2 linked regions of the Coturnix japonica genome follow. The protein of the gene in region 2 interacts with the protein of the main gene of each other region in a pairwise test. Links are inferred from orthologs where the notes say so. Each region holds a gene or a part of one and is shown on either strand. Other genes may lie near its edges.

Region 1 (5,107 bases), on a different chromosome or scaffold from region 2:
GAAAAGTAGAGAAAACCCTGCATGTTTTTATGCCACTTCTTAGAATAATACCAATCAATCACCCTGTCCCACACTCCTCCCGAACACCACGGCTCACATTACCGTTACTACACATTTCTTGTAACTTTAGAGTGACTGCTGCTCCTCCAGAAGATGGACACGGCCACGAGCCTGTCCCTGCAGCAAGGCTGCGTTTCGGGTAACCACAAGAATTATCTGCAGGGCAGGAGGCAGCCGGAGGGCCCCAGCCTCAGCAGCAAAGGGCTGATAATAAGGCACTCCCAAAGACCCTAAACCCCGTTTGGTTTGCCTGGCAAAACCTGTGTGCTGACCATGCAGTGACCCTCGAGTTCCAGGGGAATAAAACCTGATTCAGCTTTTCAGATTCCCAACAGCTTATGGAGCTCCCAGCAAAGTGAAAATTTAACCACTGTCATCCCACTGTAGCTTGGGAAAGCACAAGAGACTGTGGAATTGCTTACACAGGCTTCCATTACAGAAGGGCAGAAAGCACTTCTTAGATAGAAGCCCAGTTTGGCAGAATACACTCTTGCTTTTGGAGAAAGCGAGTTACAAGCACAGCAGGGAGGGCAGAGGCACAAAGTCATTTCTGAACTGGGCCGTGGTAACGGGTTATGAGCAGGCAGGGAGAGCTTTGCTCGGTTTCAACCCCAAACCTTCTCTGTAGCTGAAGGGAATGGCAAGAGTTAAGCTGAGCCATTGGAACAAGGGCTGTGAGACTCTATTCCACCAGCAGCACCACGATCATATGATGCCGAGCTCCCTTTACTTGCAGGCAGCAAAGTGCTCCAAGTGGTTCCAGCTAATAATATTTTTATATTGAAGCCAACGCACAAAGGATGGCATAGAACACTGTGTGATCAGCAAGAGCCTACAGTTAACATTTGAAAACTGCTGCACTACATCACAGTTTTGTTCCCAAGTGACCCAGGAGGGGCAAGAAGAGGAAGGTTTGTTTGCATTCAAATTGCTTCCCCCAATTGAGGCCGTTGCGGGGGCTCCTTAACGTGGCTTTTGGTGACAGTGTTGGCCTGGCACACACACACAGCTCCAGAGCCAGAGTTCTTACCAGAGCTGTGTGAAAGTTCTGCTCTCCCATCTTAATTCAGCCTCCATTCACAGTTGGAAAAAAAGACGGCCAATCCTGGATGCTTTTCTTCCCCAAGCATTTCCTCCCAGCGTCTTTAAAGAACACCAGTTGTTAACGAGCGGTTTGTCCTTTCACCAGTTACAATGCAGGCGTGCTTAAACCTGTAGCTACACCAGCCCGGGACTTAAAGCCAAACAGTTGCTTTTAATTTCTGTTCAAATAGAACAGGGGTGCTGCCATTAAGCAGCCTTCCATCTGCTCTGTGATGCTGAGAGGTTACTGACACGTTCTGGAACCTTTCCTCATTGAAACAGCTGCCCTACACACACACACAAATACTTGTACTACTTCAAAATAACACCGTAATACTGAAACACACCGACAATGGCAATAAGGAATGACTTGGGAGGTAACGCAAGACTTGGGCTCTCTTCATCTCCGAGCTCTCCCACTGATCGTTTAAATGGTGAACAATCAGGAACTCCAAGGCAGCTCTTTTATCTCATAGTGGGAAGTGAAGGAGAACTGGGATAGAGAGCAGCTGCTGTTTCTTAAGCCCTCAAAAGAAACTGTAACCAGAAGCAGAAACAAACAATGCAATGTACAGCAGGCTCCTTTAGCACAGCTTGCTTTTGGCCTTCATTTTCCAACAGTAAACCTTCAATAGATCTTTACTAACAGATTTTGGCCCTATTCTTTTTCTCCCTGCCAGGAGAGACCCTTTAATGAAACCCTAAATCCCACTTCAATCAAAGTCATCAATCAATCAATCTTTGTTAACAACTTTCCTCAACCAATCTGTTGAACAACCCCACGTGGTTGGAACATCAGAGATGAGATGGCACAATGCAGCTCCAGCCCTGCATTAAACACACAGATATCATAAATAATCCGCTGTGTGAGGCCCTCAGAGCCCAATTCACAATCAAACACAACCATAATTCATTAACCTGCCCTTTCTGGGGCTCACAACGAGGCACCCACGTGTGCACGCTTGAGGAAATCAATCTGCATCCCACACTGCATCATTAACAAAGCAATTAGTGCATCTTGTGTCATGGACCAGCACAGCACACCTGATTTCTCTGGGGCCAAATGCTAAGAGGGACTGAAAGCAAAAGGAGCGTACAGCACTCAGCTGAGCACCCACACCAACCCAATACACACAGTTCTAACATGGCCCAACAGCTGGTTCTTAAGAACTGCCTCCCCAGCTGAAGGTGCATCAGGAAACCCTTCGACCACACAAGCTGATAAGCCCCAGCATCATTACACAATGTGATTACAGGCTCCTTCATAGCAAACTCAAAGGAGCATCAATGTCCTGAAAGGTGGGAAGGTGCAGCTGCAACAAGTCTCTGTCCTGTTTATTTCACATCATTTCCACTTGAGATGCTGACACTCCTCACCATGACAGCGCAGCTACAAAGGCTTTGCTCAGCCTCCAGCAGCACGTTAACTACTAACTGCACACTATGCTAATTGACTTTCCTCCAGCGAACTGTCTGCGTTCCCTTCTATTTCCTGTAGCTACAAATATGATAATCGGGAGAACAAAGCCTTCACAACAGCCGCTCAGGAGCCAGTCAATGAAGTGAGGTGCGGTGCAGGCTGCTTTGTGCCCACGTCAAAAGCAAATTAAAAAGAGAAAACGGCCCAAAAACAAAATCCACATCTGAGCAAAGTTCCTCTTTCCAACGTCAGGCCGATCCCAGCCCTTGGCAACGGGTCTCAGAGCACCCAATTCACCTTTAATTCCCACTTCCTCCCCAGCCGCTCTGCTGGGCAGCTCCTGGCACTCCATCAGTCCCCTTTTATCCCCGTTTCTTTTTATAAACCCAAGGTCAGGTTTCCTCTCCCATCTCATGTGATGCATTGGACTGAAGTTCTGCCAGCGTGGTTGCTCCAGAGCGCTGCCAAAGCTCCTCACCGGGCTGCTCCACCATCAGCCTCAGCGCGGGGGCATTAGATCGCGTTCAACAAAGAGAGAAACGGGGAAAAAAAGGAAAAAAAAGGGGAAAAATGGGGAAAAAAAGGGGGTTTATGGGAGCGGGGAGAGCCCCGAGTTTGGCAGCGTTGAACGGACGCCCCCACAGCGCCCGGCCCGGCCCTCACCTCCTCCTCGCTCTCGCTGCGGAAGCACAGACAGGCCGCCCGCTTCTTGTAGCCGTCCCCGTCGTAGGTGCGAGTCTGGTTGGACTTGAGCTTCATCATCCTCCGCTCCCGGGGGCGGCCCGAGGCGCGGCCGGGCCTATACAGGGCCCCTACACAGCGCCGGGAACGAGCCGCCGGGATCCCGCGAGGGGCGGGCGGGGAAGGACGGGGGGGACGGAAGGGGGGACCCGCCTCCCCGAGAGTCTGTTTGTCTGTCAGTCTCTGTTTCCCGCAGCCCGGAGCCGCCCGCTACACGCTGCCGCCTTTCGCCCGCCTCATCCCTCCCTTCGTTTCCAGCCGCTCCGCCGCCGCTGCCGGCGCTCCGGACACCGCCGACGACGACCGCGACGCCATCTTGGGCACGCTACGCAAACGGCGTAAAACGGCGGGCGGGGGAGGGGGCGGTTGCTCCCTGCAGCTGCGCGGCGCGCCCGCCACGCAAACGGCGCAGTCCGGCTTCCAGAATCGCTCCCCCCTCCCCGCGGCACACACAGACGCCGCTACCACGCCTCCGCCCGACGCCGGCCCTGCGCAAAGCCTTCGAGAATACGGCGGCTGCGTGCCGGGGCGCCCTGACAGCTACGCAAAGTGCGGAGAGGCAGCGCACATGGCTCCGCTCTGACAGCGGCTCTACGCAAAGCGCGCAGACGCCACGCAGGGAAGAACGCGTAACTTACGCAAGGACGGCTTACGCCAGTGGCGGAGCGCGGCTGGGGGCAGCGAACAAAGGGGCGGGACGGGGGGATGGGGCACAATGGGACCCAATGGGGCACAATGGGACCCAATGGGGCCTAATGGGGCACAATGGGGCGCACTGGGTTCGGCCGGCCCCGCTGTGGCTGTATCAGGGTTGGGGGGGTAAAGCAGCCCTACAGCCTGTGGGGTCACAGCCAGGATGGGTTGTGACCTGCTTTGCAGCTGCCCTGCTCAGACACACGGATAAACCCTACAGCAGAGCAGCCCTGTGGGACTCAGCTCAGTCGCAGTCAGGTTCCAACGCCCTCAGGTATATGAAGAACCCAATTACACGCCTGCTGTTTGCTCCATCCCTATATGAGGGCTGTAAGCAGCCCCTTCTCGCTGCGTTCTGTGTTCCTGCCTATACAGCAGCACCATCCGGCCCCATTAGCGCCGTGCCATGGCTGTGCTGTGGGTGACACCTGGTGGCACGATGCAGATCGCAGCCCTCCCCTTGCTCAGCTCCAGATGCCGTCACCATCCTCTCTCACCATCCTCCTTCATTTCTTAATTAACCCACTGAATTCAGACACTCCAATAGAACACAGCCATGCAGCCCAAGTGGCATTTTCACCTATTTTATCATACACAAAACATGAGCGGGAGGTTTACTGAGGAGGCTGACCACGTCCACGACCAAATCCACCTCTCTGCAAGAGAAAAAGAAGAGCATTACAAGTCACCACATTGAACAAGCAACAGCAAATAAGTGCTAAAAGCACTGACAGAAGAGCCAAGTATCTGCCCGCAGCACTGCATTACTTTGATACGCATCCCCTGCTCCAAGCACAGCTTAACTCTGATCTGAGACCAAACTGAACCCATCCCGGTCAGCTCTATCACAGCTCAAACTCTCTGTTTCTGTAGTATAAAATAATACATTTCCCCTAGAAAGCTCAGTGACTTTTTGTCACAGCAGTAAGGCTTTCAGTTTATTCAATAAGAGTGCAGGAAGTCCTGCTAAGCACCATACCCACACACACAGATACATGCATTGTCTCTAACTCAGAGCACAAATAAATGAAGCCTATCTCAATACAAATACTTACAAACTGGAATTCAGTGGCTGCTCCAGCACCGGCCTCAGCCTTCTTGTCAGCACCA
Region 2 (5,738 bases):
GGGAGGTCTTTTCCAACCTTAATGGTTCCATTTCTGCCAGTTTTTGGTGGGGGAAGAGTATAAGAACTGGAGCCTGTAGAGCTCAGGCACCATTTCTAACTGGAGTTTCTGTATCTCTATGGATCATATCACTATGGAGTGGTTCTTGGTGCCTTCTTGGGCAGGTAGGCACCTGTGGTCTCTGTAGGAGAAAAGCCTGTGGTCTATCTTTGATGTGGGCCCAGTTCCTGGCAATTCGCTATTTTAGCTTCTTTGAAAGAATGACTCATATAGTTTCTGGTGTATTTAAAAGTCTCAAATGAAGAAGTAGTCACCGCAGCACCCACTTCCACTTTTATTCAGACAAAAAAGATATATATGAATGATACATGCAGGCGCTGTTGGTCATTTCCTCCTCAGAAGAGACAGAAAATAGTTGCAATGAAATGAGTCAACAGGGAGATAGAAGCGGCAGTTCCTGGAAACGATAATGGCCCCCTGTGTAAAGATAACGAGGCAGAGATAAAGCAAATAGCTTTGTGATCGTTGTTGACTGTGTGGGGCAGCGTTAGGATTCCCAGCTGATGTGTAGCCTACAAACCCAGCCTGCAAACATGGGATGATCCCTTCTTCCTGCTGCATGTCAACTGGAGGACAGCAGAGGGCATTGAAATGCATGGAAACGCTGGGTTGTTCTTTTTCAAATGGATTTATTTCTTACGTATGGCCAAAAACTGTTCAAACAAACAAACTACCTCCCCCTCCAAAAGCCTCTATTAAAACTCCCGATTGTTTTATGGTGTTTTTATGATGGCAAAAAGACACACCATAAATCCTACAAGGTCCAAGGGGTGGGGGGAGATGCATCAAGTGGGACTGAAGGGATCCAGGGTTTGTTTTCAGCTTTTTGCTGACTTCTTTTGCTTTAATTTCCGCTGTTTTTAATCTATGTGTACATTTTACAGAAGGGCCATTGGCTCTAACACGGTGCATACGCAGGACCAGAAAAAAAAACCAGTGAGCTCATACCTTTACACAAGCCATTAAATCTGCCAACGGAGGGGCCTGAAACCCAGCTCTACACTCAGCGTTGCGTGGGTGACGTGCTGCTTCCAGGAGGTAATATAATCAATGACTTAATTAACAAAGAACTTGCTCTGGTCCTGATGATGAAGAGCAGCTCGCTCCATGCCAGACCCACTATGTGATACGCACCACGTCCCAGCTGCCCCACTTCTACCCACTCTCTATGCTTTTCCTGTCCCCTCCAAACTCCTTTTTGTTGCAAGAACTCCCCCAGACACATACAAACACACACCTCATCTATACCAGTACACACAGGACCCCCTCCCCATACCCCTCAGTATCTCCCCACACACAACAGTACCCCCAGTACCTCTCCCCACTTACACCACTCCCCACACCAGTGCCCCCAGTATCCCCTCTCCCCATATAACCAGTCCTCCCAGTCCCCCTTCTCTCCCCACACACCAGTGACCCCAGATCCCTCTCTCCCCACATCAACCCCTTCAGTGCCCCCTTCCCCACATACTGGTGATCCCAGTTCCCCTCTCCCCACACACCAGTCTCTCCAGTATCCCCATAACCAGTGACCCCAATCCTCTCCCCACACCAGCGACCCCAGTCCCCTCTTCCCACACACACCAGTGACCCCAGTCCCATCCCTCCCCACATCAATCATCTCAGTGCCTCCTTCCCCATATAACCAGTCCTCCCAGTCCCCTTCTCTCCCCACACCTGTGACCCCAGTCCCCCTCTCCCCCAACACACCAGCCCCTCTAGTACCCCCTCTTACCCCATAACCAGTGACCCCAATCCTCTCCCCACATACCATCCCCTCTAGTACCCCCTCTCACCCCAAACCAGTGACTCCAGTCCCCCTCTCCCCATACACCAGTACCCCCCCACAGACCAGTACCCCCCATACACCACTCTTCCCTACCCCCACACCAATACCTCCAGCACCCCCTCCTATCCCCACACATCACTACCCCTTACCCCTCCTATCCCCACATCAATACCACTTATACACCAGCGACCCCAATACCCCCCACCACCGACCCTACACACACCAGTCCTCCCAGCAACAACTCTCCCCCCACGTCACTACCCCCATATACCCCCATATACTCCACTATCCCCCTCACCCCATAAGTCAATGCCCCTTTTCCCCTCCCCCCCGCACTACGCCTCCCAGCGTCCCCTTGTGCGTTATGGGGCGGAGCGTGGGGCGGTTCTAGGGCGGATCGTTGAACACCGGATCGTCCCCGGCGTTTTTTTTTGGGGGGGCCATGGCGATCTCCGGGGTCAGCGCTTCGCTGCGGGGCGACATCAGTGCGTGGAGGGTCTTGGAAGCAGGGATGGGTTGTATGGAGGGGGGGAGAGGGGGGGTGAGTTGTGATTTGGGGTGGATTTGGAGTCAGGGAAGGGAGGGGAAGGATGGGGCCCTGGTTAACCGTCCTATGGGAGAGACTGTGTTGTTGGTAGGGCGGTAGGGCGAGAGGTGATGGCCTTAAGGTGTGCTGGGGGGGTCAGGTTGGGTATTAAAAGCAATTTATTCACTGAAAGAGAGATAAAGGGGTTGGAATAGGCTGCCTAGGGATGGGGGGGAGGTCACCATCCCTGGAGGTGTTAAGGGAATATGGAGATGTGGTTGGCATGATGGTTGGATTGGGTGGTCTTAGTGGTCCTTCCAACCCTAATGACTCTATGGGATGGCATCCAGAGAGACCCAGGCAGCTCAAACAGTGCACCCAGGAGAACCTAGTGAGGTTCAATAAATCCAAGTGCAAGGTTTTCCTAAGCCTCCCCAAGAGGGCTCAAAGAAACAGGCTCAGTATGCCAACAGGGAGAGATTTAGATGAGGATAAAAGGCTTATTACAGGAACAGTAGTGGAGCACTGGAATGAGTTGCCTAGAAAGGAGTTGGATGCTCCATCCATCCATCCATCTATCCATCCATCCATCTATCCATCCAAGGTCAGGCTGGATGGGGCTCTGTTTGTATGGTTTGTATGTGGCGGAAAACTTCAAGCAAATGCTGGAAGGAAATGCAGCATTACAAGCAGCCCAATGGAAAGCCCCCAGTGCAAAGCTGGACTGGGGATAGAGTAAGAAATAAGTTTCATTATTCCCATCTCTTTCTTGTTAAGGGTTGAGATATAATATTTAAGGTCCTTCCCAGCCTAAGTCAATCATATGTTTCTGTCAGCCTATGAGCCTGTGTTCCTATTTCAACAGAGCCTCTTTTTTCCAGCCCAGAATCTCATTTATTAAATATTTTTCTTTTTTCCTCTGCAGGCTTTTGGGTTGATCGAACCCCAGTTCATGAAGCAGCCAGGCAGGGAGAAATCCTTCAGCTACAACAGCTGATAGAGAGTGGAGCCTGCGTCAACGCCGTCACCTACGACTCCATCACCCCACTGCACGAGGCGAGCCTGCGCGGGCAAACACAGTGTGTCAAACTCCTGTTGGCTGCAGGGGCCCAGGTAAGTGCTCAGTTGTGATCCAACTGGAAACCAAGCCACTATGCTGTAGGTGCTGTACTTGATGATCCTTGTAGGTCTCTTCCAGTTGGGGTTATTCTGTGATTCTGTGGTCTGTGCTGTAGCTGTAGTGCTGTTACTATGCTCTCATCTTGCATTGAGATCAAGAGGAGCCCCAGGTACTGTTGTAGGATGATGTCCATAGAATCATTTGAGTTGGAAGGGACCCTTAAAGGTCATCCAGTCCAACTCCCTTGCAGTGAACAGGGCCACCTACAGCTCAATCAGGCTGCTCAGAGCCAGGTTTTATACTAACTTAGAAAAGCAATGTGCTCAAAGTCAGGCTGGATGGGGTTCTGAGCACCTCATTGAGCTGTAGGTGCCCCTGTTCATTGCAAGGAAGTTGGTCTATGTGGCCTTTAAGGGTTCCTTTCAACTCAAACGATTCTGTTATTCAATGATTATAAGGCTAAGAGTGGAACGGGGAACATGATTGGATTTACACTTACTCTTTAAGTTTCTTCTCTCCTTACTTCAATTTTATTACACAGAGAAGAATCTGCTGAGTCTTCAGTGGATTGTGACATCTCACACACTGAAGCTGGCTGTCCTCAGAGTGAACCTGGTGAAACTGATCACATGTGCACCCCGTATGTGTGTGCTGTGCTCCTCGTTGCGTATTCAGCCCATCACAAAGCTGAACTTTGCACTAACCACAGACAAGGAGCACATCGTGCTGTGCTGGCTCAGCTGCAGCGCTTGTAATGTTCAACAGGGAGAGCAATGGGGAAGCTTTAGGAGAGAGGGAACATCATGGCATGGCAGGAGGTTGGAGCTTGATGATCTTTAAGGACTCTTGAACTCACTGAAAGAGTAGCTAACAGCAGGACAAGGGGAAATGATTTTAAGTGGAATTAGGGGAGATTTAGGTTGGATATTGGGGGAAGCTTCGCAGAGAGAGTGGTGAAGTGCTGGAACAGCTGCCCAGAGGGGTTTTGGATGCTCCATCCATCCCTGGAGGTGTTCAAAGTCAGGTTGGATGGGGCCCTGGGCAGCCTGGGCTGGTATGAAATGTGGAGGTTGGTGGTCCTGCACATAGTAGGGGGGGTTTGAATCTGGATGATCATTGTGGTCCTTTTCAACCAAGGCCATTCTATGATTCTGATTTCTTCTTCCTTGGAGGTGGATGCCAGGAACATTGATGGCAGCACTCCACTCTGTGACGCCTGTGCCTCAGGGAGCATTGAGTGTGTGAAAGTGCTGCTGTCCCATGGTGCCAAAGTGAACCCTCCCCTGTACACAGCATCCCCTCTTCATGAAGCCTGCATGAACGGTAAGCTGGTGTGGTCTTATCCTCGCACGGTTATTTGCAGCTTGGAAAATGAACTCAGAATGCAAAGCACAGTTGGGAGAATAAAGCAGCTCCTTGTGTTGGGTGCTTTCATCCCACATGGCAGGCACAGGATCAGGTCTTAGGTAGATAAAATGCCATCTTCTCGAGAGGGGAAAACTGCAGAAGCCATTGTAAACTGTCAGCTCCTGCTTAATTTTCTCCTGTCGAGCTTTTTTCCAAAGGCTCTGTGCTGCTGAGTGCCGTAAGTCACACAGTAAAATTAAGGCTGTTGTGGTCTCGAAGGTGATCTCATCCACCCAGGGCTCATTCAGCCATGCAACCAACTCTGCAATCCACAGGCTGCTTAGTGCCAGCCCTTGGAATCACATTGGTTTGGCCATTAGCTCTAGCTTAATGCCATGCAGATGTAGCAGTTTCTTGTGCCCTATTCCCAGCCTCTGTCCTGAGGTATAGAATCTGGCTTTCAAGTGTTTCTATTTTACATCCATTGCCCCAAATATTAAACAAGCTGCTCCTGGCTGATCTCAGCGTGTACTCGTATTTTAAGCTGGATTCTTCCTTTTGACTCAGATCTTCCATTTCTAAAGGCAGCTCAGATTGTGTGCAACTCCTCATAGACGTCGGTGCCAACTTGGAGGCTCACGACTGCCATTTTGGGACACCCCTACACGTGGCCTGTGCCCGGGAGCATCTGGACTGTGTGAAGTTGCTGCTTAAGGCAGGTAGGGCAGCTGTGGGGTTTGTCTTGGGGTGATTGTGTGCAGCGTTTCCCTCTTGGTGCCCCACTGTGAGACTCTTGCCCAAGAGCTTATTCATTCCCAGCATGACAAAGATGGTAAAGGAGGAAAGTTTGGCATTTACTCGGGCAAACCTCCTTCCATTCTCCTTGGTTTTCAATA

Evidence for each region. The genes of interacting proteins can lie anywhere in the genome.
Region 1: the proteins of ASB13 (region 2) and NUDT3 interact in a two-hybrid assay, tested with the Homo sapiens proteins (2 studies listed by BioGRID and IntAct). The link is inferred for Coturnix japonica from reciprocal best matches to the Homo sapiens genes ASB13 and NUDT3.

What each region holds. Positions count from the first base shown.
Region 1 is NC_029541.1:4,237,528-4,242,634, reverse strand, and holds the start of NUDT3 (diphosphoinositol polyphosphate phosphohydrolase 1), read right to left. Parts: upstream 3,648-5,107; 5' UTR 3,326-3,647; coding exon 3,227-3,325; intron 1,376-3,226; exon of another isoform or gene 1,121-1,375; coding exon of another isoform or gene 1,091-1,120; intron 1-1,090. Other genes in the region: RPS10 (40S ribosomal protein S10), read right to left, coding at 4,612-4,653, 5,053-5,107. UniProt on the Homo sapiens protein: Cleaves a beta-phosphate from the diphosphate groups in PP-InsP5 (diphosphoinositol pentakisphosphate) and [PP]2-InsP4 (bisdiphosphoinositol tetrakisphosphate), suggesting that it may play a role in signal transduction.
Region 2 is NC_029516.1:1,118,140-1,123,877, forward strand, and holds the start of ASB13 (ankyrin repeat and SOCS box protein 13), read left to right. Parts: upstream 1-2,203; 5' UTR 2,204-2,291; coding exon 2,292-2,334; intron 2,335-3,300; coding exon 3,301-3,488; intron 3,489-4,667; coding exon 4,668-4,818; intron 4,819-5,426; coding exon 5,427-5,561; intron 5,562-5,738. UniProt on the Homo sapiens protein: May be a substrate-recognition component of a SCF-like ECS (Elongin-Cullin-SOCS-box protein) E3 ubiquitin-protein ligase complex which mediates the ubiquitination and subsequent proteasomal degradation of target proteins.